7 linked regions of the Rattus norvegicus genome follow. The protein of the gene in region 6 purifies or fractionates together with the protein of the main gene of each other region. This does not show direct contact. Links are inferred from orthologs where the notes say so. Each region holds a gene or a part of one and is shown on either strand. Other genes may lie near its edges.

Evidence for each region.
Region 1: the proteins of Cul4a (region 6) and Dcaf10 purify together in Homo sapiens (affinity purification with mass spectrometry; 4 studies listed by BioGRID and IntAct, with this or other methods). This does not show direct contact. The link is inferred for Rattus norvegicus from reciprocal best matches to the Homo sapiens genes CUL4A and DCAF10.
Region 2: the proteins of Cul4a (region 6) and Chek1 purify together in Homo sapiens (affinity purification with western blotting; 4 studies listed by BioGRID). This does not show direct contact. The link is inferred for Rattus norvegicus from reciprocal best matches to the Homo sapiens genes CUL4A and CHEK1.
Region 3: the proteins of Cul4a (region 6) and Cops9 purify together in Homo sapiens (affinity purification with mass spectrometry; 3 studies listed by BioGRID and IntAct, with this or other methods). This does not show direct contact. The link is inferred for Rattus norvegicus from reciprocal best matches to the Homo sapiens genes CUL4A and COPS9.
Region 4: the proteins of Cul4a (region 6) and Sox2 purify together in Homo sapiens (affinity purification with western blotting; 3 studies listed by BioGRID, with this or other methods). This does not show direct contact. The link is inferred for Rattus norvegicus from reciprocal best matches to the Homo sapiens genes CUL4A and SOX2.
Region 5: the proteins of Cul4a (region 6) and Pwp1 purify together in Homo sapiens (affinity purification with western blotting; 6 studies listed by BioGRID and IntAct, with this or other methods). This does not show direct contact. The link is inferred for Rattus norvegicus from reciprocal best matches to the Homo sapiens genes CUL4A and PWP1.
Region 7: the proteins of Cul4a (region 6) and Trpc4ap purify together in Homo sapiens (affinity purification with mass spectrometry; 7 studies listed by BioGRID and IntAct, counting the BioPlex papers as one, with this or other methods). This does not show direct contact. The link is inferred for Rattus norvegicus from reciprocal best matches to the Homo sapiens genes CUL4A and TRPC4AP.

The regions. Positions count from the first base shown.
Region 1 is NC_086023.1:64,430,966-64,434,501, reverse strand, and holds part of Dcaf10 (DDB1- and CUL4-associated factor 10), read right to left. Parts: intron 598-3,536; coding exon 395-597; intron 1-394. UniProt on the Homo sapiens protein: May function as a substrate receptor for CUL4-DDB1 E3 ubiquitin-protein ligase complex.
Region 2 is NC_086026.1:44,627,033-44,631,087, reverse strand, and holds the start of Chek1 (serine/threonine-protein kinase Chk1), read left to right. Parts: upstream 1-1,244; 5' UTR 1,245-1,269; exon of another isoform or gene 1,270-1,450; intron 1,451-1,467; exon of another isoform or gene 1,468-1,978; 5' UTR 1,979-1,995; coding exon 1,996-2,060; intron 2,061-3,885; coding exon 3,886-4,055. UniProt on the Homo sapiens protein: Serine/threonine-protein kinase which is required for checkpoint-mediated cell cycle arrest and activation of DNA repair in response to the presence of DNA damage or unreplicated DNA.
Region 3 is NC_086027.1:100,659,403-100,663,622, forward strand, and holds the start of Cops9 (COP9 signalosome complex subunit 9), read right to left. Parts: upstream 2,805-4,220; 5' UTR 2,790-2,804; coding exon 2,727-2,789; intron 556-2,726; coding exon 483-555; intron 1-482.
Region 4 is NC_086020.1:119,463,646-119,467,932, forward strand, and holds Sox2 (transcription factor SOX-2), read left to right. Parts: upstream 1-1,485; 5' UTR 1,486-1,848; coding exon 1,849-2,808; 3' UTR 2,809-3,897; downstream 3,898-4,287. UniProt on the Homo sapiens protein: Transcription factor that forms a trimeric complex with OCT4 on DNA and controls the expression of a number of genes involved in embryonic development such as YES1, FGF4, UTF1 and ZFP206. Binds to the proximal enhancer region of NANOG.
Region 5 is NC_086025.1:19,883,635-19,887,924, reverse strand, and holds the start of Pwp1 (periodic tryptophan protein 1 homolog), read left to right. Parts: upstream 1-1,461; 5' UTR 1,462-1,520; coding exon 1,521-1,592; intron 1,593-3,707; coding exon 3,708-3,766; intron 3,767-3,891; coding exon 3,892-4,076; intron 4,077-4,290.
Region 6 is NC_086034.1:83,121,641-83,125,919, forward strand, and holds the start of Cul4a (cullin-4A), read right to left. Parts: upstream 2,818-4,279; 5' UTR 2,801-2,817; coding exon 2,653-2,800; intron 2,364-2,652; coding exon 2,248-2,363; intron 1-2,247. Other genes in the region: Pcid2 (PCI domain-containing protein 2), read left to right, coding at 3,760-3,795. UniProt on the Homo sapiens protein: Core component of multiple cullin-RING-based E3 ubiquitin-protein ligase complexes which mediate the ubiquitination of target proteins. As a scaffold protein may contribute to catalysis through positioning of the substrate and the ubiquitin-conjugating enzyme.
Region 7 is NC_086021.1:164,587,108-164,590,643, forward strand, and holds part of Trpc4ap (short transient receptor potential channel 4-associated protein), read right to left. Parts: intron 2,467-3,536; coding exon 2,365-2,466; intron 1,374-2,364; coding exon 1,290-1,373; intron 326-1,289; coding exon 235-325; intron 1-234. UniProt on the Homo sapiens protein: Substrate-recognition component of a DCX (DDB1-CUL4-X-box) E3 ubiquitin-protein ligase complex required for cell cycle control.

The sequences.
Region 1 (3,536 bases), on a different chromosome or scaffold from region 6:
ATGAACAATAAAAAAGGCTCCAGCAAGAGGATGCTCCAAGATGGCATCAGCTTGTGAGTGGACATCAGAAGTGTAGTACAGACTACACACTTAGAACTGTTGAAGTGACTATAATTTAATACCCTAAGACAGGTATCATATTGGGCCATCACTAAGCTTGAGGCAAGGATGATGATTCTCTGGCTAATAGAAATCCGAAAGAGCTTTTAGAGCTAAGAGTCATTCCAGAGGCACAAGTTAACATTGTCAGAGATACATGAAAGTCATCACACCTCAGTGGAAAGCTGTGAGTCAGCTTCTGGAGAATGGCTTCACCTCCTGTCTCTGAAAGCATACTTAGACCAGAAACACCTGCCCCTCCGTGGCTCAGATGCTTTCAACCAAAAAACCTTACCTGAACTTGAAGTAGTTCTTCTTGCTCTCAGAATGGGATAGCTGCCTACTTCTAAAGACTTAGTCAAGTCCAGATCATGCAAAATCAAGAGATATCCAGAGGACGTTGAGATCAACATTTTGGAACAATCTGGTGTTAATCTCATTCGCATAAGAAAACGTGTATGAAAGAATTTTTTGTGTGGACACCCATCTTCTGTGCACCTACAGAAATCAGACCAACAAACCCAGTGTTACCACAAATATACCAACTCCCAGTACCAGTCAAACTATTTTATTCTTAAAGAACTGAGAGCCACACACATATTTTATATTTTACAATGCTTTTTAGCCCTGGCTGTCCTGGAACTCAACTTTATAGACAAGAGATTAAACTCAGGTTGCAGGGTTGGTAGCAAGTACCTTTACCCACTGAGCCATCTTGGCAGCCCATAAAACATAGTTAGTCTTTATAAATGAAGAGCTGTGACTCATTACCCAGAGGTTGAACAGTATTAGCCAGTTAAAGGCTTCATCCTACTAGATCTTAATTTTGCTTCAAGCATTCAAGTTTATATCTAAGAGAACATGGGTAAATGGTTACTATGTTTTATTCTCCCTGTGTTGTCTCTCTATCCCCCAATCTTCCTATGTAGTATGCGTCCTCCGTCAGGTTTTTCTCAGTTGTCTGACTATCATTGTGTGCTTGCTCATTTAGGTGAGAGCAAGGAATTCAAGCTGAATGGGAACTCTTGAGTACAAGGAGGATGAAGCCATTTCTGAAGAGCCCCTTAGTGCTAATATCTGTGAGGTGACTACTGAAAGAAGCTAAAACTGTATGAATTTTACTACTCAGCCCCTTGGTTTTGGCAGAGCAGTGAAGCCTCCAACTGTTTCTGGCATCCTTCAAGATGGCAGTATTTTCTATATTACATCTTTACAGAGTTAGGAACTTCTGGGAAAATGATCTACTGCCCACTGGACGGGGTGAAGAGTAGAGCTAAAGTTCTTAAATATCTCTCACTCAAGTCTCCTCTAGCTACTACTTTCCCTCTGCGACTGAGGATTTCGGTTTGTTTTCAATTGCTTGTGTTTATATGTGTGCATGTGTACATGACATGTGACCAGGTGCCTGGAGAGGCCAGACGATGGCATTGGATCCCCTCAAGCTGGAATTACAGGAGGGAGGCTTTAAACCATCTGATACAGGGGCTGGGAACTGAACTTGGGTCTTCTGGAAGAGCAGTGAGTGCCATAAACTCTAAATCACCTCTCTCTACCAGGAATTAGCTTTCTAAACATCTGGAGTGAAGCTGCCTGAAGTCAGTTGCCATTCATCTGCCTGACTGCCAGCTTCTAAACTTTTATTATCAAGTTTCTTCTTTTTTCCTGTCTTTTTAAGTTTATGTCTAATCTCTGGTCCTTACCCGCACTTTGGTTTTTGTGACAGGATCTCATTATGTAACCTCGACTGACCTGAAACTTCTTATGTAGGCCAAGTTGGAAGAGAATTTATTGAGATTCTCCTGCTTCTGAGATTACTGTAGTTTTTGAGTCTTTTTTTATCGATTTTATTTAAATCTTGTAAAGACTTAAATGTAGGTCCCATAATTACTATCAAGGTTATATATTTTCTTTAAAATTACATACTTTAGCTATATGTGGAAGCCCACCTGTAGTTCAGTCCTTAAGAGAGTATTCATATTTGTGAATACTTTAAGTCTATATATGAAACACACATATACACGTTATTTCAAAAGTACTTGTCTATTCCTATAATCTGAACTTTGGGAGAAAGATAACAAGTTCAAGGATAAATTAGCTACAAAGTGAGATTTGTCTCACAATAAGAAAAGAAACAAACCTTTTAACTATTGGTTAGGATACACTCACAACAAAATAGGAACATGATTGATTTGTACATTATCTTACACATATTAACCTTTATTTACTTTTAATTATAACATTGTATTAAATTGCATATTGTGCATACTTCTGGTATACAATATTTTTCTTTTTCTTTTTTTGTGGTGCTAGGAATCAAACCTAGGGCTTGTACATGCTAACCCTGTACTCTACCACTAAGCTAACACTCCTAGCTGGCAACAAGTTTTGAAATATGCATTACTTTATTTACATTCAGGAATTTTACTTTTTTCTTTTTTTAAGATTTATTTATTTTATATATGCGAATACACTGATGCTGTCTTCAGACACACCAGAAGAGGGCATCAGATTCCACTACAAATGGTTGTGAGCCACCATGTGGTTGCTGGGAATTGAACTCAGGACCTCTAGAAGAGCAGCCAGTGCTCTTAACTGCTGAGCTGTCTCTCCAACCCCTGTACTTTTTGTCTTTTTTGGTTGTAAGACAGTCTCTCTACATAGCCCAGGCTGTTCTGGACTCATTGTGTAAACCGGGTAGGCCTTGGCCTCTCAAGTGCTAGGATTAAAGGCCTGTACTACCATGCCCAGAAGATACGCTACCTTTTGTTAACCTATTTACCACTTGACAGAAATCATATCGGCTCTACTTTTGGAGGCAATTATGAAGAATATTACTGTAAACATTCATGTACAAGTCTCTGTGTGTGCACATAAATGTTCACTTTCATGAGTAGACATACCCACGAGGTAAAATTGCTGTGTCATAGACTAACTATGGTTAATATCTTATAAAGTTGGCAAACTGAACCAGGTGTGGTAGTGCACACCTTTAATACCAGCTCTGGAGGCAGAAGCAGGCAGATCTCTTTGAGTTAGGGGCCAGCTTTTCTACATAGAGAGCTCCAGAACAGCCAGGACTATGTAGAGAGATCCTGTCTCAAGAAAACAAAACAACAAACAAAAACAAACAATCATGAAATAAAAACAAGCTAGCAAACTATTAATTCCAGTAGTAAGAATTCTAATAATGATGCTTCTAATAATGAGTTCTAGTTTCCCACTTTGTCACTGTTATTAATAATATTGAGCCTTTTCATCCATAAGCATGTAGTAGCTATTCATTTCTTTCAGCACTGTTCTAGCTTAAAAATCATACACATGGGCTGGAGAGATGGCTCAGCGGTTAAGAGCACTGATTGCTCTTCCAGAAGTCCTGAGTTCAAATCCCAGCAACCACATGGTGGCTCACAACCATCTGTAATGAGATCTGATGCCCT
Region 2 (4,055 bases), on a different chromosome or scaffold from region 6:
TGTGTATGTAAGCCCTTTCCCTTAGAATTGACATTTTACACTTTATTATGGGCCTTTTGCATGCCTGGCAAGCATCTACCATAAGTCTAGCCTAGTAACTAATATTGTGTTTCCTAACTCATCACTTTTGTTTAGAAAGGATCATATACGTGTGTATATATATATGTGTGTGTATATATATATATGATAACATGTATAATATATATACATTCATATTCTACCCCCACATTGGTTCAGACTGATCAGCTTCTTGAAGCAGTTCCCATGCCTCAGCCTCCCTAGGCCGAGGTTATAAATGAGTCACCATTAAGTCTACTTTGCTGTTTGTGTCTGAAAGAGAGCATCTTGGTTGAGTATCTCCTGCCTCATTTCTTAGAGTGATGGGCCACCATAGTCGTTTAAGAAAGCTAGTACAGGCAAATAGTCTTCCTAAAAATAACGTTAGATTTAGCCGGTTTGGAGCCTGTGCAGGCAAAATTGGTGACCCTCACTGGACTATGAGGCGATGTGGATTTTTTTTTTTTTTTTTGCCTTCGTTTTTTTGTTTGAGAAGACTAACTCTGCATAGCTCGGTTGCCTCAGACTCAGTTTTCTTGCTTATGCTTTCCAAATTCTAGGTTAACAAGCAATTTCTAGGTTTACAAGCATGCACCACTCTTGCTCCCTTCATTTTTTTTTTTTTTTTAGAATTAATTCCAATAGCAGTTGCTAGCTTCTCAGTTCGAATACTGAGGCCACAATTGTGTGTTTACAGAGCACTTTGTGGCGCTTGGTTTGAGCCTCATAAACCCTTCCTACCAGGGCCTCCTAGGTCACGAGCAGATCGGTTTACGTAGTTAACCGTGCAGCCTTTGCAGGCTCTGACCGGCAAGGAACCCGGGTTCTTGCCCTGGGCCCAACCGATGCGCCGTTTGGATGGATTCTTTCTGTACCAATGTAAGGCGTCCAGCATAGTGCACGCCCGATGCCATTTCACTCTGGGACTCAGATCACTTCTCACCAAAGCAGTCGTCAATACCAAATCTCATTAGCCTGTGTCTTACCGCGGCCGCATCAGAACTCCAACCAAGCACGCCCAGTACTTGAAGGAGGGGCCCTTGCTCGGTCAGTCTACCGAAATTGCTCCTCGGTAGAGCTCGGGATAGGACAACGCGCGCCGGCCCACTTTACGGCAAAGGTGTGCGCTTTTGCGACAGCATGACGCAAGCAGGTTTTGGCGGGAAAAGCTGTGCACTTGGATTCCTGTGGCAGCTGGCAAAGGACTGCTTGGTGAGAAGGGCGTCCTGAACGGTGGGAAAGAACTCCAGCAAAGTACCCAGAGGGCTTGATTAGTGCGGGCTGGCATGGTGAGGGAGTGGCCCAGATGAGCGGAGAGGTGGGAGGGCCGCCCGGAGTGCGGGCTGGAACCGGTGGTCTGCGGCTCTCCAGCGTACAGGGACCAGAGCTTTTTGTAAGCCTCCGGGGTTCGCATGCTTTTCCGGCTTTAGGGGGTCCCTGCCTTCCGCTTCTCTCCGCGGCTTGGCCCCGCCCCGTGCCCTCCCGGTGCTGGGGACACGTGCGGTTGGGGTGGGAATTGGAAGTGAGCGGGTGGGAGGAGGGGCTGCTCTGGAAGTAATTCCCTTAGTTACACCCAGCTGTCCCCCACCCCGGCACCCTGCCCTGCCCTGCCCTGTCCTGCCCCCAACTCCCTTTCCGGGTCATTCATCTGAAAGCTTTTGTTTTGTTTTGTTTAGCAGTTACTTCCAGCTAAGCAAGTGTTCAGTTTTGCATAAAGGCGGAGGTCTATCGTAGAAACAGGATTTGTGATATACAGGGCAAAATGTTTAAATTTAGCTTTATGATTTGGGTAAATATGGATGAGATGTAAAGGGAAAACAAAGTCGTGCGGAATCATGGCAGGAGACATGGCTCAACGGCATTACAGGTGATGAGAATTTACACTCATCGCCCGTATTTTCTGGAATCCTGCATTTTACAGTTGCTGTGCTTGGAGTCATGGCAGTGCCTTTTGTGGAAGACTGGGATTTGGTGCAAACTTTGGGAGAAGGCGCCTATGGAGAGTAAGTTTGAGCCCTCATTTAAATTTTTTAGTGTGTGTGGGTGTCTGTGTGCACGTGTGCGCGCGCGTGCGCGCCTGACTTTTGTTGAAGACTGGGATCTGGTGCAAACTTTGGGAGAAGGTTCCTATGCAGAGTAAGTTTGAGCCCTCATTTTAGTGTGTGTGTGTGTGTGTGTGTGTGTGTGTGTGTGTGTTCGTTCTGCCATGGATGTACCTGTGGAGGTCAGAAGACACTTGCTGGTTCTGTTGAGGGTTCAGAGGACTGAACTCTGATCATCAGGCCTGACAGCAAGCGGCTTAACCTGCCTAGCCATCTCCACAATCCCTATTAAAATATTACCTCTTTGCTTGTTTTAGTTTTCTATCTCTTGTCTGAATACACACTTAAAAAAATCCTTTATTCCAAGTGGCAAAGAGCATGGATATTTGCATTTGTAAATCAAGGCTCTGAGTGAAGTTACTTCTCCACACTTGTCCCTCCTCTTTTGTCATAGTGGACATTGAACATCACCACACATCACCACACATGCTGGGCCTATGCTCTGCGACGAGCTACATTTTTAGGCCTATCAAACGAACAACAAATTTCTTTTTGCGTTTGATTTTGTTCAGATCAAAATCTTGTTAAATTGCCCAGCTTTGGCCTTATACTTGTGGCACACTGTAGCCTCCCAGGTAGGTATTACAATCCCATGTTAGTCGATCCAGTTTTTTTTTTTTTTTTTAAATTTTTCTTTTATAAGAAAATCATTTCCCTAACAAACCACGTGTCTTAAAATTTTAAATGAGATAATGAAAAGACCCTGGCGGCATCCAGCCTGACTGGAGACCCTCACACTCAGCGGATCCTAGTTGTGTTTTGTGTTCCTGAGCGAGCTTTATGTGTCTTTGTTTCTTCATCTGATGATAGAATTAGTGGCTCTTACCTCAGAGGTGCTCAGGCATATATGCATGAGATTCATAAAGGGAAAGGAATGCTGCCGTGGGGCCAGATCATGTGTACATGTGATGTAATCCAGCCTTGTTACTGTTTTTCAAAGCCTCATCAGTACACACACCAGGTTTCCATGTTTCCAAGACTTGGAGCCTTCACTGAAGCACTCATCTCTGGTCTCATTGCTCGGGAGACCATGGCAGAGGCCATTTCATTTTCCTTGATGAAGAAAGGAAGAATAGTTCGGGATGTGTTACATTTAATTTCTTGAAGTTTTTTTTTCGTCCTAAGATTTATGTGTTTTCTTAATATGTGTGTTTGCTTGCCTGCATGTTAGTGTACTACATGTGTTCAGGGCTGACAGAGGGCCAGAAGGTGTGGGATTCCCCCAGAACTGGGAATTACAGATGGGTTATATGAGCTACCACGTGGGTGCTGGAAACTGTACTGAGGTCTGAAGCAAGTGCACTGAAATGCTGAGCCATCGTTCTAGGTGACCCCTCAATGCACCCCCCTCCCCCCCTCCCCAGTTTTGTTTGTAGAGAGTCTCATTGGCCTCAAACTCACTCCAAGCGCTCTGCTTGCCTCTGTTTCTCTTAGGTTTTTGGTTGTGAGCCTAGCCATTAACGGCTGAGCCATCTCTCCAGCCCTTGCCTCTGCTTCTCATGTGCTGGGATCCAAGACTTGTACACATCATCACTCCCTGCTTTGAAAGTTTCTTTGTAGTCCAGGCTGGGCTGGCTTGAACTTAGACCCCTTTGTCTCTCTCTAGAAGGTTGGAATTACAGGTGTGCGTCACTAATCTTTTGAAGATGTAGGAGAAATGGAATTCTGAGGTGAAAATGTTGTAACTCACTCTCTCTCTCTCTCTCTCTCTCTCTCTCTTTTTAAGAGTTCAACTTGCTGTGAATAGAATAACTGAAGAAGCTGTTGCAGTGAAAATTGTAGACATGAAGCGGGCCATAGACTGCCCAGAAAATATTAAGAAAGAGATCTGCATCAATAAGATGTTAAATCATGAGAATGTAGTGAAATTCTATGGCCACAGGAGGGAAGGCAACA
Region 3 (4,220 bases), on a different chromosome or scaffold from region 6:
GCAACAGAAGTGCGTCCTCCGCTCTGACCTCACTCAGGGAGAGCTGAAGCAGAGCTCAGCTGTTACTCTGCAAAGGCAGCAGTGGCCATGAGTCCAGGTGGACAAGCAGGTGTGGCCCAGGAAAGAGAGGGATACATGCTGTCACCGGGAGAGTCCAAAGATGACAGAACCATGAGGCCTCTGTGCCCAGGTCTGGGAGACGGGCTGTAATCAATACGTCCATTTGCACACGCCACTCATGCCACTGCTCAAATTCAAGCCTGGGCAGTAAACTGGGGAGACACTTACTTCCTGCTCTCCTCAGACAGGGCGGACAGGCAGAGCTGACTGCCAGGGGATCACTCCACACACCTGGCACAGCACAGACAGAGGCACAAGGTCTGGGCCACACTGTCCCATGATCCAAATTACCCATGGCACAAAACTGCCCACCGCAGAGGAAAACTCAGATTAAGCCTGGCACCCAATGCTGGCAGACTTACCGTTAAAAAAGTCCGCATGAACTGCCTTTTCATTGGCTGCCAAGTCCATCAGGAGCCCGGTGCTACCTCCAGCCTGGAGAATGAGAGGGAAGGTCATTCTGTGTGCTTGTTTTCCAAGAGCAGGTGGTGGCTTCCTTAGCACACCCATCCCACCTCCCTGGAACAGAACACTGAGTGACAAGAAGAATGCTCAAGATGGGAGCCAGAATTTCCCGGACAAAGAAAGTAGTGTGAATGGGGAAGCCAAGCAAATGATTTTAAAGCTCTCTCAAGGTCCTCAGTTTTCCTTGGCATGGCCTCCTGTGGTACTCTCCTGCCGGAGTCTTCAGTCCCCTCCTAGACAATGCCAGAGGGCACAGAAGTACACCAGCAAGCTGGACATCTGCCCTAGAGGCTCCCTTCTCTCTGAGATTGCAGCCATTCCCCTTGGGAAGCTGCTTGTCCCAGCGCTGAGGTCTGGGGTACTGCTCTTTGGGAGAAGCCTCCAGGACTGCCACCAATGGTGGTGCTAAAACCTGACCACACCCAATCTGTGAGATATGAACACTCTTTGTGCTCTTTGGTCACCCAGAACGGTGGACGCAGAGACCTGTGGTTGCAGCACACTGGACGGCTGGCTCTGGCCTTTTTCTGCCTGGGCCTCATCTTTCGAGGGCTCCTGGTTCAACTTTCCCTGGAGTGACAAGTACTTGAGCATCTCCTGTATTCCCTTTCGAGTCTTCTTTCTGCCTCTGTCCCCAGCCCCATTACTGGACAAAGCCATACAGATTGCCTCTAAAGTCCTGGCTGAGCCCTCCTCCTGCCTCCACTGCCTCAGTCACAATTTCTTTAAGGTTTCGTCCTTCCTGTTTCCATTGCTTTACCATCTCCCTATAAACCGAAGCTCCCACCTCTCCAAAGGACCAACCCCCATGGGAAGCCAGGCTTCCTCATCGGGATGCCCTCACATCACCTGCTGCAAGGCTGAGGGGCTAAGGCTGAATGCAATTGCCTCATCAGGGGATCACAGAGCCCATACATTCACTCTCTGGGCATTACTATGTAGATCTGCTTGTTCCCACCCCTCTGTGTTCAACTATGTACTGCCCGTTTTGTGTGTCCACTTGACACAAGCTAGAGTCATCAGAGAAGAAGAGCTCAGTTGAGGAAACACTTCCATGAGATCCAGCTGTAAGACGTTTTCTCAATTAGTGATCAATGAAGGAGAGGCCAGCCCATTGTGGGTGGTGCCATCCCTGGGCTGGTGGTCCTGGGTTCTATAAGAAAGCAAGCTGAGCAAGCCACTAAGCAGCACCCCACCCCCATGGTCTTTGCGTCAGCTCCTGCTTCCAGGTTCTGGCCCTGCTTGAGTTCCTGTCCTGCCTTCCTCCAATGATGTGAAAGTGTACACCAAATGAATCCTTCCCTCCCCAGCTTCCTTTTTGGTCATAGTTTTTGGTCACAGCAATAGAAACCCTAAGACAAACTACTTGGCATCCCCTTCCCTTAGCGGGCCAGGGAGCATCGCTCTTCCAAAGCTCTGCTACTTTGGCTCTCGTCATCCATACCCCAATGTCAACAGAACACATTTTTCAATATTTGAATCAGGAGAAGCTCCTCTCTTAAGCCTAATCTGAGCCAACCAAAACCCCATGGACACGTCTGTATGGCACCCCCATCCCACCCTTGCTATTATACTTAGAAATTGCAGTCGGCCTCTTGGGGCCACACCTAACATCTCTCAGGTCCCGGGATGCATTCGCGCACCTCCCTACTCGCTGAGCTTTGAGGAGCAGGAAGCTGACATACACGAGCTAGCTGACACTCCTGATCATAACCACCTCACTGAAACACCTGTATCAGATAAATATCTGTGACCATGGTATAAATCAAAAGCACAAGATCGCTCCAAAAGTCTGTGTGTCTACACGAAATAACCGAGTCCCAGCACAAAGCACACAGTTGCCACACACTATCCCTTGCCCTTCTCTCAGGGCTTGGTGGCTAGAGGCCAGTCAGTGCGTAAACCTCGCTCGGGCCTTCTCTCTCCGGAATATTTATGAGGAGCCACAATCAAGTAATAGAGAACAGACCCTACTTCCTCGCTGCAATTCATGTAACAGTCTTGGACCCTGCGACCGTCCCCGCCCGCTCCCGCTTCCCCAGTCTCTGGCAGATTTTGAGTCCCCGAAGGCCTGGGCTCCCACGCAGGTTTGTAGGCGTGCTCCCACCCCCAAGCATCGCTCCGCGCCGCCACCACCCCACCTCATCCAAGTCTACATAGGGCCCCGCGCCCTCGGGAAACATCTCATCCACAGCTGGTTTCATCTCGAGACTGGCGGCGTTGCGCTCACTTCCGGCCAGCCCCTTCTACTTCCGGCGGCGTTCCTCCGAGCAGGTCTAGGCCCCGGAGGACCGCGCCTCGGTGGCACCCCGCTAGCCTGGCTGCTGAGCTGCTCTCTGAGAAGACTAGGTCAACAGATTATGCGTTAAGGACCAAAAACACCACATGAGCACTGCACGAGTGGTCGGAGAAAGGAGACTATCCATTTCCCAGCAGGGTTGCAGTTCAAAACCGTCAGAATGACTACTGTACAGAAATCACAGGCTGTAATGGATTGGCTAGAAGGTGGGGGTATTGAATCTTTAGGTACTGTAGAGGTAGCAGAAATCCAAAAGTAGTACGTGCGCAGTGGCCGCTCTCAGAGTCACCTCGGCCAAGATGAAGAAGCAGCCCAGTGCATGCAGACAAGATGGGCTTTATCTACAAGGTGGGAGAGTGTGAAATCTTAAAACTTTAAGTAGGGATTCCTAGCCTATGGGCATGGACGAGCCTTGAGGATGTTGTTAAGTGAAATATAAACAAACGCTGTGTACCACTCATGTGAGGTCTCTAGAGCAGTCAGACTCATAAGTGCCGCAGTATTGGGGATGGCAGTTGTTCAGAGTTCTAGAGGTGTGTGGTGGGGTTGGGGGGAAGGTGTCCCCTGAGAAGAGGCAAGGCTGATACATTTTAGAGTGTCATATTGTACCATGGTTTTTAAAGAATGAAGAAAGAAGAGAGGAGGAAGGGACAGAGAGGTGTGGATCTTTGTAGGAGAGGGCCTAAGCTATTCTGACAGTCTAGATTACTCTAATGAGGCTCCTGGATGTTCCCCTAGGATCCTCTGTGCACCTCCTGGTAAAATCCAGGTTTAACAAGTATCTCTGTGAAGTCACTGTAGCAAGAAGCCTGAAATGCAACCGATACCTGCCTTTTCTCCATATCTGATAGGGCTCCTCACCCTCCACTATCCCGGGCAGTGTCTTCTGATCATGCCTTCAGCAAAGCATCTGTGTTACTCCTGAGTTTTTATTTCCCATCTACCCCAACCCTGCTCCTTGACTGTCAGTCCCTGTTGCTACTGTGGTTGAGCAGAGCCTCTCTCCAGCGATACAAGACTATTGCTCCTCCTGCCCCGATGGTTTTGAATGTTTTCCCTTTCTCTGCTTTCAAAGCAATTGGGAACTGTTGGTTGGTTGGGTTGGATTGGGTGATTTTGTTTTTTGTTTGTTTTTTTTTGTTTGTTTTTTTGTTTTTTTGGTTTTGTTTTGTTTTCCTTTAACAACTTCGAGGCTTCAGGGACTTGGGGGGGGGGTGTGGGCTGCTAGAGTGAGAACGGGGGTCAAGGGTAAGGACTGACTCAGCCAATGGGAATTGAGCCTGGTCACTCCTACCCTTGAAGCCCAAGTGAACTGTGCAGGATGTGTAAGAAATAA
Region 4 (4,287 bases), on a different chromosome or scaffold from region 6:
CAAAGGTTCCAACAAGAGAGTGGAAGGAAACTTAGACGGGGCTTTGTTTGACTCCGTGTAGCGACAACAAGAGAAACAAAACTACCTATTTGTAACGGACGTGGTGCTGTGGCTCTGGGCTTTTTGAGCGCCTGCCGATTGAAATCTTTACGTCTGGACAATGGGAGATCGGCTAAAATTACCCTCTCGGGTCCTGGGCGGGCAAGATTCTTGAGCCCCTACCTCCGCCCCCAGCCCATTCTCCCACAGCCTGGGCTTGCTCGGTCCCGGCTCCTCGGGTTCGGCCGGCCTTCCCTCTGCGCACGCCGCCTGCACCTGCACCTCTGGACCCCGCGCGTTTCCCAGGCCCCGGCGCCTCTCGGCCGGGCCTTCGCGACTACCACTGTGCCAATCAGCAGGGGCAATGCGGGCTGCGCTGCCCCATCCTGGGAACGCTGCGTGGGAGGGAGTTTGTGAGCGCAGCCTAAATGCCACCTCCGTGCCTCGCGGTGGGATGCCAGGAAGTTGCGTGACCCTCCCCCATCCTCTGCCCTCTGGAGCTTCTTTCTGTTGATTCTTTCGTCCCCTAGCTCTCATCTGAAATTGCCATCACTGAAATCCTCTTGTGTCGGGGTTGGGGGTTAGAAAGAGAGGGAGGAGTGAGTTCAAGCTTTGCGTTTGCACCCTTTAGATGGGACAGATTGGTGGAGGAGGGAGTTAGGGTTCAGGACACGTGCTGTGGTTCCTTGAGCCACACCTGAGTCGGCCTAGAAGAAGGCTGTGTACAGGGCCTGGCCCTAGCTCTACAGTCAGCCATATGGGCAGAGGACTCCTGTTTGGGAACCCAGCCGATGACGCGGAAGCCAGGAGGGCGCTGAGGCCTGGGTCTAACTTCTGGTCTGTTCTGTGAGAAAAGGGGGTGAGTGGGTGTTGGCAACAAGGTTGGAAGAGGGGCTGGGACAGAGAGCAGTGCCGCGGATGAGCGGAGGAACAATGGCACACCACCTCCGGCCCTGCCAGCTTCCTGAAATACTAGTTGGACGGTCGCCCCGAACCACCCATGGGCCTCGCCCCACCCTGGCCCCAGCTTTCCGCGCCCCATCCACCCTTATGTACCCAAGAGAGAGCCAATATTCCGTAGCATGGGGGAAAGGAGCTGTCGTCTTGGTGCTGTTTACCCACTTCCTTCGAACAGGCGTGCCGCCGTGACCTGTTGCTGAGAACGGGGGGGATACAAAGGTTCCCCCGCGGCGGGCTGCAGGCTGCGGGCCCGCCTCCCCCGCGCGGTTCGGGGCACAGCGCTCCGCTGCGCTCGGCTCGGCGGCGCGGCAGGCCCCGCCCCCTTTCATGCAAAACCCTCTGGCGAGGCTGGGCTCCGGCGCAGGAGCCGGCGCTCGCTGATTGGCCGCCGGAAACCCATTTATTCCCTGACAGCCCCCATCACATGGATGGTTGTCTATTAACTTGTTCAAAAAAGTATCAGGAGTTGTCAAGGCAGAGAAGAGAGTGTTTGCAAAAAGGGAAAAGTACTTTGCTGCCTCTTTAAGACTAGGGCTGGGAGAAAGAAGAGGAGAGAAAAAGAAAGGAGAGAAGTTTGGAGCCCGAGGCTTAAGCCTTTCCAAAAACTAATCACAACAATCGCGGCGGCCCGAGGAGGAGAGCGACTGTTTTTTCATCCCAATTGCACTTCGCCCGTCTCGAGCTCCGCTTCCCCCCAACTATTCTCCGCCAGATCTCCGCGCAAGGCCGTGCACGCCGACGACCCCGCCCGCGGCCCCTGCATCCCGGCCCCCGCGCGCGGCCCCCGCAGTCCCGGCCGGGCCGAGGGTCGGCGGCCGCCGGCGGGCCGCGCCCGCGCCCAGCGCCCGCATGTATAACATGATGGAGACGGAGCTGAAGCCGCCGGGCCCTCAGCAAGCTTCGGGGGGCGGCGGCGGAGGAGGCAACGCCACGGCGGCGGCGACCGGCGGCAACCAGAAGAACAGCCCGGACCGCGTCAAGAGGCCCATGAATGCCTTCATGGTGTGGTCCCGGGGGCAGCGGCGTAAGATGGCCCAGGAGAACCCCAAGATGCACAACTCGGAGATCAGCAAGCGCCTGGGCGCCGAGTGGAAACTTTTGTCGGAGACCGAGAAGCGGCCGTTCATCGACGAGGCCAAGCGGCTGCGCGCTCTGCACATGAAGGAGCACCCGGATTATAAATACCGGCCGCGGCGGAAAACCAAGACGCTCATGAAGAAGGATAAGTACACGCTTCCCGGAGGCTTGCTGGCCCCCGGCGGGAACAGCATGGCGAGCGGGGTTGGGGTGGGCGCCGGCCTGGGTGCGGGCGTGAACCAGCGCATGGACAGCTACGCGCACATGAACGGCTGGAGCAACGGCAGCTACAGCATGATGCAGGAGCAGCTGGGCTACCCGCAGCACCCGGGCCTCAACGCTCACGGCGCGGCACAGATGCAGCCGATGCACCGCTACGACGTCAGCGCCCTGCAGTACAACTCCATGACCAGCTCGCAGACCTACATGAACGGCTCGCCCACCTACAGCATGTCCTACTCGCAGCAGGGCACCCCCGGTATGGCGCTGGGCTCCATGGGCTCTGTGGTCAAGTCCGAGGCCAGTTCCAGCCCCCCCGTGGTTACCTCTTCCTCCCACTCCAGGGCGCCCTGCCAGGCCGGGGACCTCCGGGACATGATCAGCATGTACCTCCCCGGCGCCGAGGTGCCGGAGCCCGCTGCGCCCAGTAGACTGCACATGGCCCAGCACTACCAGAGCGGCCCGGTGCCCGGCACGGCCATTAACGGCACACTGCCCCTGTCGCACATGTGAGGGCCGGACCGCGAACTGGAGAAGGGGAGAGATTTTTCAAAAAGATACAAGGGAATTGGGAGGGGTGCAAAAGAGGAGAGTAAGAAAAATCTGAATGCTCAAAAGGAAAAAAAAAATCTCATTACCCGCAGCAAAATGACAGCTGCGGAAAAAAACCACCAATCCCATCCAAATTAACGCAAAAACCGTGATGCCGACTAGAAAACTTTTATGAGAGATCTTGGGACTTCTTTTTGGGGGACTATTTTTGTACAGAGAAAACCTGAGGGCGGCGGGGAGGGCGGGGGAATTGGACCATGTATAGATCTGGAGGAAAAAAACTACGCAAAACTTTTTTTTAAAGTTCTAGTGGTACGTTAGGCGCTTCGCAGGGAGTTCTCAAAAGTCTTTACCAGTAATATTTAGAACTAGACTCCGGGCGATGAAAAAAGTTTTAATATTTGCAAGCAACTTTTGTACAGTATTTATCGAGATAAACATGGCAATCAAATGTCCATTGTTTATAAGCTGAGAATTTGCCAATATTTTTCGAGGAAAGGGTTCTTGCTGGGTTTTGATTCTGCAGCTTAAATTAAGGACCGTTACAGACAAGGAAGGAATTTATTCGGATTTGAACGTTTTAGTTTTAAAATTGTACAAAAGGAAAACATGAGAGCAAGTACTGGCAAGACCATTTTCGTGGTCTTGTTTAGGGCAAACGTTCTAGATTGTACTAAATTTTTAACTTACTGTTAAAGGCAAAAAAAAAATGTCCATGCAGGTTGATATCGTTGGTAATTTATAATAGCTTTTGTTCAATCCCACCCTTTTCATTTTGTTCACATAAAAATATGGAAATTACTGTGTTTGAAATATTTTCTTATGGTTTGTAATATTTCTGTAAATTGTGATATTTTAAGGTTTTTTCCCCCTTTTATTTTCCGTAGTTGTATTTTAAAAGATTCGGCTGTTATTGGAACCAGGCTGCCGAGAATCCATGTATATATTTGAACTAATACCATCCTTATAACAGTTACGTTTCCAACTTAAGTTTTTACTCCATTATGCACAGTTTGAGATAAATAAATTTTTGAAATATGGACACTGAAATTATGCCTGAGTCTTTCATTTCTTTGGCTAGCATGCTTGTACATAACTTCTTGGGGGATTGGATAACTGTTCAGCCACCAAGATCTTGGTGTTACCAGCAATGTCTGTTAGCATTAACTGCAGAAGAAAAAAAAATGGCTGGATGATTAAAAACGGGAAACTGAAATGCGCTGACATTTCTAGAATAGAAACTAGAAGCATATATTGTAAGTCCACCCCCTCCTTTCCTGAGCAGCGTGAATAAGCGCGATGTGGGCTTAAGCTCTCTTGTAGCACTTGTTGCCAGAACGAGACGATTCTGAAATTTTTCGTGTAGCTTAGTAGATGGGGTACTGAGCCAAATCAGAACCAGGTTGGCTGGGTTGGTTTTCATTTTCTTCACAACACAAT
Region 5 (4,290 bases), on a different chromosome or scaffold from region 6:
TAAGGGAAGTGCCCCAAAGAATCAATGGGGGTGACCTTAGCTGTGACTCACAGCATTGGGGATATGGGACCTGAAGAGGCTACCTCCTATATCCAGAACAGAACCCCAGTGGAGTGACAGAGACAGCAAACCCACTCACAAAACTTTCAATCCAAAATTTATCCTATCTACAAGTAATGCAGGCATGAGGACGGGAGCAGAGGCTGAGGGAATGGCCAACCAATAACCATCCCAACTTGAGACCCATCCCATGGGCAAGCACCAGTCCTTGACACTATTAATGATACTCTGTTATGCTTGCAGACAGGAGTATATTGTCCTCTGAGAGGCTTCACCCAGCAGCTGACTCAGACACAGACACCCACAGCCAAACAGTAGATAGAGCTTGAAGACTCTTACGGAAGACTAGGAGGAAGGATTGTGGGTCCCAAAGCGGATAGGAACTCAGAGTCAACTAACCTGAACCCTTTGGGTTCTCGCAGTCTGAACCACCAACCAAAGAACATACAGGCTGGACCTAGGCGCCCCTCCCCATATGTATCAGATGGGCAGCTTGTTCTTCATGTAGGTCCCAAACAACTGGAACCGGGCTATCACAAAAGCTGTTGCCTGTATGCGGGATATGTTCTTCTAGCGGGGCTGCCTTGTCTGGCCTCAGTGGGAGAGGAAGTGCCCAGCCTCGCAGTAACTTGAAGTGCCAGCGGGTAGGGGGGAGTCTAACCAAGGGGGCCCTACCCACCCAGAGAAAGGGGGGGGAGGATTGGGGGAGGAGGTGCCCGGGAGGGAAGCAGTGAGCCGGACGTAAAGTGAATTTTAAAAATTAAAAAAGAAAAATAAAGAAATATAAGGGGGCTGGAGAGATGGCTCAGTGGTTAAGAGCACTGACTGCTCTTCCAGAGGTCCTGAGTTCAATTCCCAGCAACCACATGGTGGCTCACAACCATCTGTAATGGGATCCGATGTCCTCTTCTGGTGTGTCTTAAGACAGCTACAATGTGCTCGTATACATTAAATAAATAAATCCATATATATATGGAAACTCCTTTAAAAACTACATTTAATCTAAAGGTTAAGATAAACCTCCCACAGATGTCTCCACTTGTCATCTCTTTTTTTTTTTTTCTTTTCTTTTCTTTTTTTCGGAGCTGGGGACCGAACCCAGGGCCTTGCGCTTGCTAGGCAAGCACTCTACCACTGAGCCAAATCCCCAACCCCTTCCACTTGTCATCTCTTAGTCCATGGAACTACGCGGAAAATGGAGTGGTGGTACAGGATTTTAACTCTAGAGTCCCAAGAACTTTAGAGTTCCAAGTTCTTCCTTTGTCTCCAAGAAGCCACTGTCCAGGGTCATATTTGCATGCGGCCTCGCCCACCTCCTGCAAGTTCCCCGCCCCTTTCCCTTGGCGCCTGCTAATGACGTCAGGCAGGCGCCCGCGCCTGCGCGTTGTTCCTCTACGTGGAGCTCATAGTCTCTCCCAGCGACCAGGTGTCTTGTTCGCGCTGGGTTCAAGCGGAACATCATGAACCGCAGCCGCCAAGTGACCTGCGTGGCCTGGGTCCGCCGCGGCGTGGCCAAAGAGACGCCAGACAAGGTGAGGCGTGTGTGTGGGGAGTCGCCTCCGGATGCCCGCGGGCTCCGCCCCGTCTGGGGACACACGCGCCGGGCTTGAGCCACTGGATGGGACCTGCTAAGGTTGGCCGGCCTGTAACCACGTGTGGCGTAGCCACGGAGTGTGGCTCTGTTGCGCAGGGCGAGTAGAGACAACGCGCTCCTTCCTGTCAGGAGCTGGAACCCTGGTCCCACCCCCTAGATGCGCGAGCACGTGGACTTTGTGCAGTGGGAAGGGGCGGGGGTGCTTGCTTGTTAGGAGTTTCTTACGGTGATCCAGATAAAACGTTCTGGGGCAGAGGGAACAAGGTGTCAGTGTGACACATTATGAAGGAAGTCATACAAAAGCTGGAGACTGTGGCAAAGGAGGCGGTTACTCAACCGGTTTTATTCATTACACTAAGTGTTTTCTGCAAGCGAAGCGGAGCCTAGAGTACCGGGATATGTTGGAGCGAAATAGGGCAAAGCCCTGGTTTTTTGCACTTGACTTTCGGGATGGCGGGGGGCGGGGAGAGGTGTAAGTGTCCTGAAAGAAGTGAAGAGGTTGCTGTGATAGACACGGGGTGGCCTAGACATGAATTTACATGCGATGAGGGATGGAAATACTTAGAGGTGTAAATTCCGCTAGAGTACAGATAGTGTTTAGCCACTGTTTTTCTTTGGTGTTTTGCCAACAGCAAATAATCAGTATATATTTATAGGATAGGGACAACAAATTACCTCATTAAAATTTCTCCAAAAGGAAATTGTTTTTATTTTTAAGGGGACATATACAGCTTTCGAAGAATTAGGAGAGTCTTAAAAATCCCTAGTTCTCATGTGCCAACCCCAAGCAATACAAATACTTTGTGTGTGTATGCGTGTATGCCCATGTTCATGTGTTTGTGTGTTTGTGCTCTGTCTGACTGAACCCAGAGCTAGCTAACTGTGATAGAGTGGTTAGCCAAAGCACCAGGAATTCTGTCTCTGTAGTCCTCAGGGCTGAGATTATAGGTGTGCTCTACACTACACCTAGCTTTTAAGTGGATTCTGGGATGGAACTTAGGTCCTTATGCGTGCTCAACAAACACTTTACTGACTGACCCCCCCCCCCTTCCCAGTGTTTTTCAATCTTTAATTTCTGGATCTTTCTCAGGCAGAATTGAATGTCATTCTCAGGAAAATTCTTGTATCACAGAATCCTTTGTTGTTGTTTTGGAGACCGGGTGTCATTCTGTAGCCCACGGTGGCCTCAGACTTATGGCAATCCTCCTGCTTCAGCTTCCTAAATACTGGAGTCAGAGGTGTGAGCTACTGAGGATCTGGAGCAATTGATTCACCTTCAGTCCTGGAGCTTTGCCATTATGGCCAACCCACACTGTGGGCTTCAGTAGATAAACAATACCAAACCAGTGTTGGCCTTTCCAAGCTTAATGTCATAGTGTTAGGGTCTTTTCTTTTCTCCAGATAGGGCTCACTCTGTAGGCCCGGCAGGACTGGAACTCACAAAGATACGCCAGCCTCTGCCTCCACTACCGCCTGGCCCTTAGGTGTGTTAAAGGCACTGAGTAGCTGTTTAGGTGAGGGGATGCCAGTTTTGAAAAGAATAGCCTTAGTTTTTGAACTCCATTAGAACAAAAGATAAACAAGTGGGAAATGTTACTGGAAGTTGGGAAAATAGAGCTGGAATTCAAGATTGGGGGAAGTTGGCGGGTAACTGTTTCCCTGAGTCTATTTACATTTGGCAGGGATGTTGGGGAAAAAGCAGAGGACCAATGTTATGTGGTTTGTTAATAGGTGACCGCTGGCAAGAGAGGGAGGCGCCCTTGGAGTCTGGGGTAGTTGGAAGAAAAATGGCCACCACAGATCCATTTTCCAAAAGCCAGCCTATTTGAATATTGAGGAAGATAGAGGAGCAGAGTGAACATGACCTCTGAACAGCGTTAGGTGGGAGGGGTCTTTATACAAGCCCCGCCTCCTTAAATTTAGAGCCTAGATCAATGTGTGAGATTTCTTGATGGCTCTTGAGGTTGTAGTTAACATTTGCCTGAAGACCCAGTTCAAAGGCTTCCGATGATGTCTGTAAATATGCTCTAATGAAGTGTTTGCTCCCTCGTAGGTAGAGCTAAGTAAAGAGGAAGTGAAACGTCTCATTGCTGAAGCAAAAGAAAAGTTACAGTAAGTGACTTCAAGTAGTTTCCAAGTGTTGCTGACTGTGGTCAAGTCCAGGTGAAGTTGTGTCATGTGCCTGTTGTTAGGAGGTGCCATCAGGGTGACGTCTTTTTCCTCTCTGTTTCACTCAGAGAGGAGGGTGGGAGTGAGGAAGAGGAGGTAGGCAGTCCTTCAGAAGATGGCATGCAGAGAGCCCGGGTCCAGGCCCGGCCTACGGAGCCGCTGGAGGATGGGGATCCACAAGACGACCGTACACTGGACGACGATGAGCTGGCGGAGTACGACTTAGATAACTATGACCAAGAGGACAACCCAGGTGAGAGTGGCTCACCTCCGCTGTGTCTGCCCATAGCGCTCCAGGTCCTGCTGTCTTATCCCACAGCTTTCGTCTCTGACTCTCCCTGGGGTCAGGTCCGATGATTTGGCTCAAGATTTGGACTTGTTTCCTAAACTGGTTTAGAGGGAAGCTCGGATCCTCTGGTCTAAGGTATAACTTTGAGATCTAAAGAGACCGTCTACTTGATGGCACG
Region 6 (4,279 bases):
ATCAGACACCCAAATGTCCATTACCTGATGAATAAGCCAGCTGTACTATATCCACCCTACTTGTCAATATGCACTTGGGGACACCCAGGAGGGATTTGAAAGAGGGTGTCTGGGGGCCATGAAGAGAAGAAAGGAGGGGGAAAGGGATGGAATTCTATTTCAAGTAATAAAAAACAAAAACAAACAAAAACCCAAAATACCAAACTGTTAGCACTCAAGTAAACGGCAAACTCCATTCTAGGCAACAACCAGAGGACAGAGGACAGAGGACAGAGGCCAGCCAACACACACCTCCTTTTAGATAGAGGAAGAGGAGTAGATAAAACACAGCAGCAGCTGCCACGGGTGGGGAATGGGAAGAAATGAATGCCCTTCTTTACAGGGGATGCAAACAGTCAAAGTTTTCATTGAGGGACTGGCAAACAACTTATTTTAAGCCTATAGCCCCAATACTTACATGAGGGACAGCCTGGACTAACTACTATCCCCTGAGACTTTTTTTCATGTATATATGAATGCACTGTAGCTGTCTTGAGACACACCTCTGGACATCGGATCTCATTACAGATGGTTGTGAGCCACCATGTGGTTGCTGGGAATTGAACTCAGGACCTCTGGAAGAGCAGACCATGCTTTTAACTGCTGAGCCATCTTGCCAGCCCCACACTGAAACTCTTAAAAAATAAAAACTGACCTCCTCTTCCCCTAAAAGAATAAACCTATTGGAGCACATGTTACATGTCCCCAACACTGTATTCATATACTCAAACCCACCACGCATAGGCACATACTTAAAATGATAAAAATAAAAGTAAATCTTTAGGCAAGTGCAGCAGTACATAACGTTAATCCCAGCACCAAGAGGCAAAGGCAGGAGGATCTCTGTCAGACTGAGGTCGCCTGTGGTTCATAGTGAGTTCTAGAACAGCCAAAGCTACACAGTGAGCCCTGTCTAAACCAAACAAAAACAAACCTTACAATCAACTCACAAACTTAAGACAAAGAACAGACACACACATGTACCAAGCCATCACTGTAGGCCAGTGGTCCCTTACCCAGAATGCTCGGGGCCAGTAGTGTTTTGGATTTCAGATGTTTTTCTTCTGGATTTAATACTTGCTTATGCACGATGATGCATTTGGGGAACGAGGGTCAAGTCTAAACACAAAGCCAGTTCATATCCCATATACCCTGAACACAATTTGAGGGTTCTCATTACCCTATGTGGACATGCTATGTGGGTGGATGGGTGGGGTGCTTGTGTCACATCAAGAGTCTGGAGGTCAGAGAATGGTCTGGAGTCATTCCCCTGCCACCGTTTTGAGGGTTCTGAGGTTCGAACACAGGCTGCCAGCTTGCTGGGCCAGCGCTTTACCTACTGAGTCATCTGGCTGGCCCTAGCTCACCGTCACTTTATTCAATAGTTCTAGCATACATTGTGTTTTGTCTGAGGCCAGGCAGAGGAGGTCAGGTGTGGATTTTTTTTTTCTTCACGAGCTCACTAAGTCTTGAATTTGGGAATTTGGGGTTGGGAGTGATGGACTGTCACAGTTTCCTCTGGGTACTGCTGCTTACTTTTCTTCTTGTGCTTCCTGTAACTTACAGTACCCTCAGTTTGTATCAGGATAAAACAAGCCTCTTAGGTAACTTTTGAGTAACATGTAAGTAATTATATGCTCTATCATGAAACTAAAACATACACTATTTAGCGAACACTATTGTATAAAAACCATGACAGAAGAGTGTGCTTGAAACAGCAAAATGTACTTCTGACGACTTTAATTCCTGTTGCAGACACAACCCATCTTTAAATTACCGGAATCCGTCTGCAACCTATTTGCAACAATTAAACCACAAAGCAGTGTGTGTGTGTGTTGGGGAGGGCGGTGCGTTACAACACAGGGACCCTACTAGCAAATGGAGCCGTAATGAGCTTTATGTTTAACAACTGGCGTTCTGATAACATTGAAGACTGCTGGAGCCCTGTGCCTCTCAGCTCCAAACAGCTCCTTTCTTCTGGTGATGGGGAAACTTACACCTCCTAAGCAGCCTGGTCTAAGCCTCAACACACAGCACTAATCCAGGGCGGCGATCCACAGAAACACCTGCTGACCCAGGGCTTCGCGGCTTCCGCTAAGGAAGGCTCGGGCCGCAGCTCTCCCCCGGGCAGGCCTCCCTAGCGTCGGCCCCCGTGGCTGCGGGAGGAGGAAAACAGCCAGGTGCTCGCAGGCCCTCGCCGCCGCTCACCTGGTACAGTTCCTCCAGGTTGTACCTGATGGATGTGCTGCTCTGGATGGCCTTGACCGCTTCGTGAAGCTTCCGCCACGTGTCCTGAGTGTAGTTGTCAGGCAGCCGCGGCCTGTCTGTGGGGAGAGAGGGTCAACGGCCGCGCGGGGACAGGACAGGCCGGGGCACCGAGGCAGGGCCCGGCCGGGCCAGCCAGGAGGTGCGGGATCAGGGCCAGCTGGGGCGCGGGGACGTGGCGGAGCATGAGGTGCAGGGACATGTCAGGGTGCAGCGCCGAGACGGGACAGTGCGGGAACAAGGCGGGCTGGGGCGCGGGGACAGGGCCGGCCGGGCAGCCCCAGGAGGCCCTGTCCGAGCGCGCGACCTGCCGGCCGCCCCGTTCGCTCTTCACCGGAGCGCACCCACCTCGGAAGTTCTTGATGACCAGCTTCCTGGAGCCGCCCGTGCCTCCCGGTTTGGCGGGGCCACTGGCCAACGCCGCGGGCTTGGTGAGGCCGTTGGTGCGGCCCATGAGAGCCGAGACGCTGCCCTTCCGAGGGCCCTCGTCCGCCATGGCTGGGCCGGACGCCGCCCCGCCCCGCGCCGCCCGGCTCCTCCTCCTGCCCTGCGCCCCGTCCGTGCGCGCCTGGCTCCTCCTCCTCCTCCTGTCGGGCTCCGCCCGTGAGCGCTCGGCTCCTCCTCCTTCTGCTCGCGCCCGGGTCCGCGCGCCCGAGGGCCAACCGCCGCTGCGCGCACCGGAATGATCCGGCTCCGGTGCGCGGACTCCGCCCAAGGAGGGCTTGGGGACTCGCAGCAGACGTTCTACAACGAATGCTCGCGAGAGGGCGCCGTGACACCCGCGCCGAGTGCTCGGGAGCTCGCAGCCCGACGTCACATCGAGGGCCGGGACACCCCGGCGAAGACTTGAGTGGATGAAAGCACCCCACAACCTTGCCTCTGGGGCCACCTCACATCCTAGGGCTCAGGAACGCCCTGTGCGGTGGCACGTAGAGGGTGGGATGGGAGGCGGAATGCTCTACACCCATTGATCTGGGGTGCCCCAGTCAGGAGTATCTGTGGGAGGACTCAGGAAAACATCCCGCGAGGGCTAGGAGTGCGCGGGACGTCTTCCCAGTGCGATCTGGACTTTTGCTCTGTTTGCTCCAGGCTGTGAGAGCCAGGAGCACCTCTGCACACTGAGGGTTGGGGTGCGGGTCACCATAATCGGGGAAGGGGTGAGGGGTACGAGGAATCGGGTCACTAGCACACAGATGTGACCAGGGACGCAGGGACACGTTTCCAAGTCGGTTGGGATTCCTCCACGTTAGTCCCCGACCTCGCGCGCGCGCCCCCGCCGGACCTGTGGCGTCCCAGTGATTGCACTGACAGCTACCCAAAAGAAGTGCTCGAGCCAGCTCTGCTCGGCTTGCGCCACCCGCTCCGGAACCAAAGTGCGGAGGGTACAGTGTGGGGACAAGGAGGGTAGACGGACCTGCGCCGGAAGTGAGGCACTTAGCCCCCGCGGCTGCTGCTATGGCGCACATCACCATTAACCAGTACCTGCAGCAGGTGGGTTTCGCTTGGTGTCCTTGTCTACTAGCCACGGGGTGAGTCCTAGAACCGAGTCGGACAGTGCCTGGTGTCCTGCAGCTGGCCTCGAGGCGAGGAGGGTCTGCTACGTGCACTGAGCATCCTGCCTTGCTCAGAAGTTGCAGGTGCTTCCCGGTGGGACAGAGGAGGATTCGAGGTGGAGGTAGCAAGATCGGGGTCACTTGTGGAAACGGTTGTCTGTGTAGCACTGTCTGCACGAAGCACTTTGTGTCTTTAGGCAGCGGCGTCCATCAAGGCTTTGCTCACAGCCTGCCAATGGCACAGGCAAACAGTGTTGCATCTGGGCGGAGGGTTGTGTTTGCGTTTTCGACACAAACCTAGGGCAGAGGGCCTGTTAGGATGTTGAAGGTGTGAATCCCACTAGGCAACACACCTGGTGCATTGGACAGCCAGATGGGAAAGTCTGATGAACGTTCTAACTGGTTATACTGCTGCACATGGC
Region 7 (3,536 bases), on a different chromosome or scaffold from region 6:
CAAAGGGCTTGCTGGGTAACTCTATATATTCTACATTCCTGAGTCCCTTAGCCCTCAGTACCTACAGAGAGCCCACTGCTGGCAACCCAGGACCAACCCTGAGCAATGTGCACTTGGAACAACCAGAACAGGTCTGTTTCTGACCAAACTCCTTAGGCTCAAGATGAGGAATCAATGCATGGGGCTGGGAGGATTCCGCCCCTGCCCTCCACCCTCCTGGTCCCTCCACCCTACCTCCAGAAGGCCTCGCTTCAGCAGGAACATCTGGTCTGCATAGGACGTAGTCCCTCGGAGAAAACTTTCCACAGCCCGGGCTTGCCAAAACCTATGACCAAAATGTTGAACCCTGGCCCAGGTGGCTTTGGCTGTCCTCCCCTGGTGCAGGCTCAATGGCCCCAGGGTCAGAGCGGTTTGCAGCCAAGTATCTGATATTTACTTAACATTTTCCAGTCTGGGTACCAGCCCTAGGTCTTGAGGACACAGCAATGAACAAGAGAACCGCCATTCTCGTATATGGTGTTCACAGCTCAGCAGGGACCAGTCTTTCATGTAGCTATACCAGAATGGGTTTCTGTGGTATATGGGCATACACAGTTGCATCTGGGCTCAGAGAGTAGCCGCTAATAAGTTCCATGTAAAACCACTCTAGGCTTTCCACTCTCAGAATATTGGAAGGACATGGACCTAGAAGCCAGGGATGTGTGGCCAGCAGAAGGGTATGCGTGGAGATGTCACTGAGTTCATATGCATTGAGCTCTCTAGGAAGAGCCAACAGACACTGAGTGGCCCAGAGGCTCAGCTGGGATCCCTGAAGGAGGGTCTGAATAGGTAAGGCTGAGATGACAGGGGACCTTGTAGGGACAGAGCCTTGTAGCCAGGCCAGCTGGAATCCCCTTGTCTAAACCTCCCAATCCCACCCCTGCCCACCTAGGTGGCCAGGAGCTCTGCAGCCTCCTCCTTGGTGCTTAGCCACCTAGCGGATGGCTTCTGGGGTGGTTCCTGGCTCTATTTCTTCCCATACTGCACTGAAGCAGGTTTCTTTCTTTTCATGCTTATTTCCCATGATCCCAAGTAGTCACGCAGGCATAGCCTGGATCCTATTTGTGCTCCACCTCTCTAGTGCCAGCTTGATGCATGCTCAGTCACCTCCTAGCATACTCTGCTGGCATGTGACAAGGATACACACACTTACCAGCCGAGTCCCATGGAGTCAGTGGCCACCTAACCCCTTACCCTTGGGAACCCCCTGGCTCCTAGAGGTCTCACGGGTCCATCTGCTCCTTACTCACCTGAATGAAGACTCTGCTGGCTCCTTCTTCATGACCTGCAGCAGCCGAGTTAGTAAGCCCCTCTTGCCGTCACACACCAGACTCCTGAAATCAAAGGGATAGACAGAGCTGGTGACAGATCTCAATGGCTGATGGGCCACTGAGCTAGTCCTGTGTGGGTGTGGAGCTGAACGAGCGGGTAATGTCTGAGTCTGTGAGGATGCTCTCTTGCTCCACTGTGTGCTGGGACCTCAGACTGTGCCGTTGTCAGCTCCATAGCCAAGTGCACTTCTGCACCTTAGGCCACGTTTCCCTCCTCAGACTGGCAAGAGGCAGAGGCACGCCCAGGGCCAGATGGGGCTCCGGACTTCCAGGAGAAGGGCCACTTACATCACAAACGGGTTTAATCCAGGCTACAGCAGAGTATGCCAGATAGAATAACATCTGTGCCAATCGGTAGGGCCCAGAGTTTTTTCCTGCCCCAGGTCAGTTCCAGCTCAGCTGTGAGCTTCTAGGCCTCAGTTTCCTGTCTGAGGCAGAGGCAGTAGTAGGTGAGAAAGGGATTAGGCCTGTCATGGTGGCAGGTGTCTGGGCCCTTAGACTCTGTCCGCACAGCAGCTCCACTTCCATCCCTGTAGACTCTGGGCAGGTCCATCTTATCAGGAGGAGGTGGGGGTTGTGACTCTAGTTGCTAGATCAGGTTCACACTTCATAAGCCCCCGAGAGGCTGGCATGTCACTGTGCTGATCCCAAAGATGAGGCAGACATAGGGCAAGGGGTGAAGGGGCTGCTTCTTCTTACCCTGCTTGGCACAGCTGCCACTGGGCAGGAACTGAGGATACCAGTAAAGGGGCCATTAGCATGGGACAAGGTGGAAGGGCAGAGTACAGCTGACCTTTGGCAGGGGCCAGATGACACCTCTGTCATCTACATGTAGATGGGAAGATGACGATGGCACTTCCTTTTGAGGGCTGCTGTGATGCTCAGTTAGGAAATGCAGGAGATGTGAGTATCTAGCACACAAAGCCATGGTGAGTGGCAGTTATGTGTGTGCCTTGGGAGCCCTGCATCCACGGCTGTCTCCCACCAGGATCACCTGTCAGTGTTGAGGACGGCTTCCACCTCAGGGATGTTGGCTTTCAGAGAGATGGCACTGAGTTCATTTAGCTCCTGGTTGTTGAGCAGCAGGTACTTGTTCCTGAAACAAACGGGTCAGAGGTAAAGGGCAGGACTGGGGCCGCTCTGCGGCTCTGCCGCGGGGCAGAGAGTTCCATCCGCCTCTGCCCACTCCTGCTGGGAGGAGCTGAGGGTCCACCAGCACTACTGCGCATGCTTGTCACTCACTAGAGCCCTTCCTCCGCATCTCCAGGTCTGTGTGGTACACCGAACGTTTCTATATGACTTTTCAAAGTCACCTGCACCTCAGCACGTCCAATATCGTCTCCGTCTTAGCCCTGAGCCTAGCTCTGCTGCATTCTCAGTGGCCAGGGTCACAGACACAGAGGCCTGACCCACTCTGACACCTCTCCTCTTTCACCCAGGCTTGTTATTACAGTCTGTGCAGCACAGAAGACTTCCTCAGCTGTTTCTCACAGGAAGGGAACCTTCACCCAGCTCCTTGAGTGAGTTTTTGAACAGGCCTTGGACAATGTCATTATAGAAATGCTTGCCCTAGTTCTCACGCTTCTGTTAACACCCAGGGAGTGACTGTGTCTTCAAGGCCCTGTGCGGCCATGCCATCTCTGTGGCTACAACAAACTGAGCAGCTCACACCTGCCACACCATCTGGCCACCTTGGTTTTCATGACCATGCCATGTCCTCCTACAGGCCTTCTCTTTGTGGGGGCCTTCTGGCTAGAACACTCTCATGCTGCCTCTTCATCCCATTCAGGCCTCTGCCCAAAAACAGCTTCTGCAATATCACTGAGCACCGCCAGCCAGTCAGGACACTTGGCAACTGTCCTTTCACAGAGTGTGCTCTTCTGTGCCCATACACCATGCCTATCTGTCAGCAGGCATTCTGCAACTGGTGACCTTCTCTATGGTAAACTTCCTCTCCCAAATGTATCCTACATGACAGCAGGGGCCATAGTATTTTCATGGAACCAGGTACACAGAAGTGCCAACTGAGAGTTTGATGAAAGCTAGGACAGGAATACACACACACACACACACACACACACACACACACACAGAGAGAGAGAGAGAGAGAGAGAGAGAGAGAGAGAGAGAGAGAGAGAGAATCAGTACAATTCTGTCACCTACAGG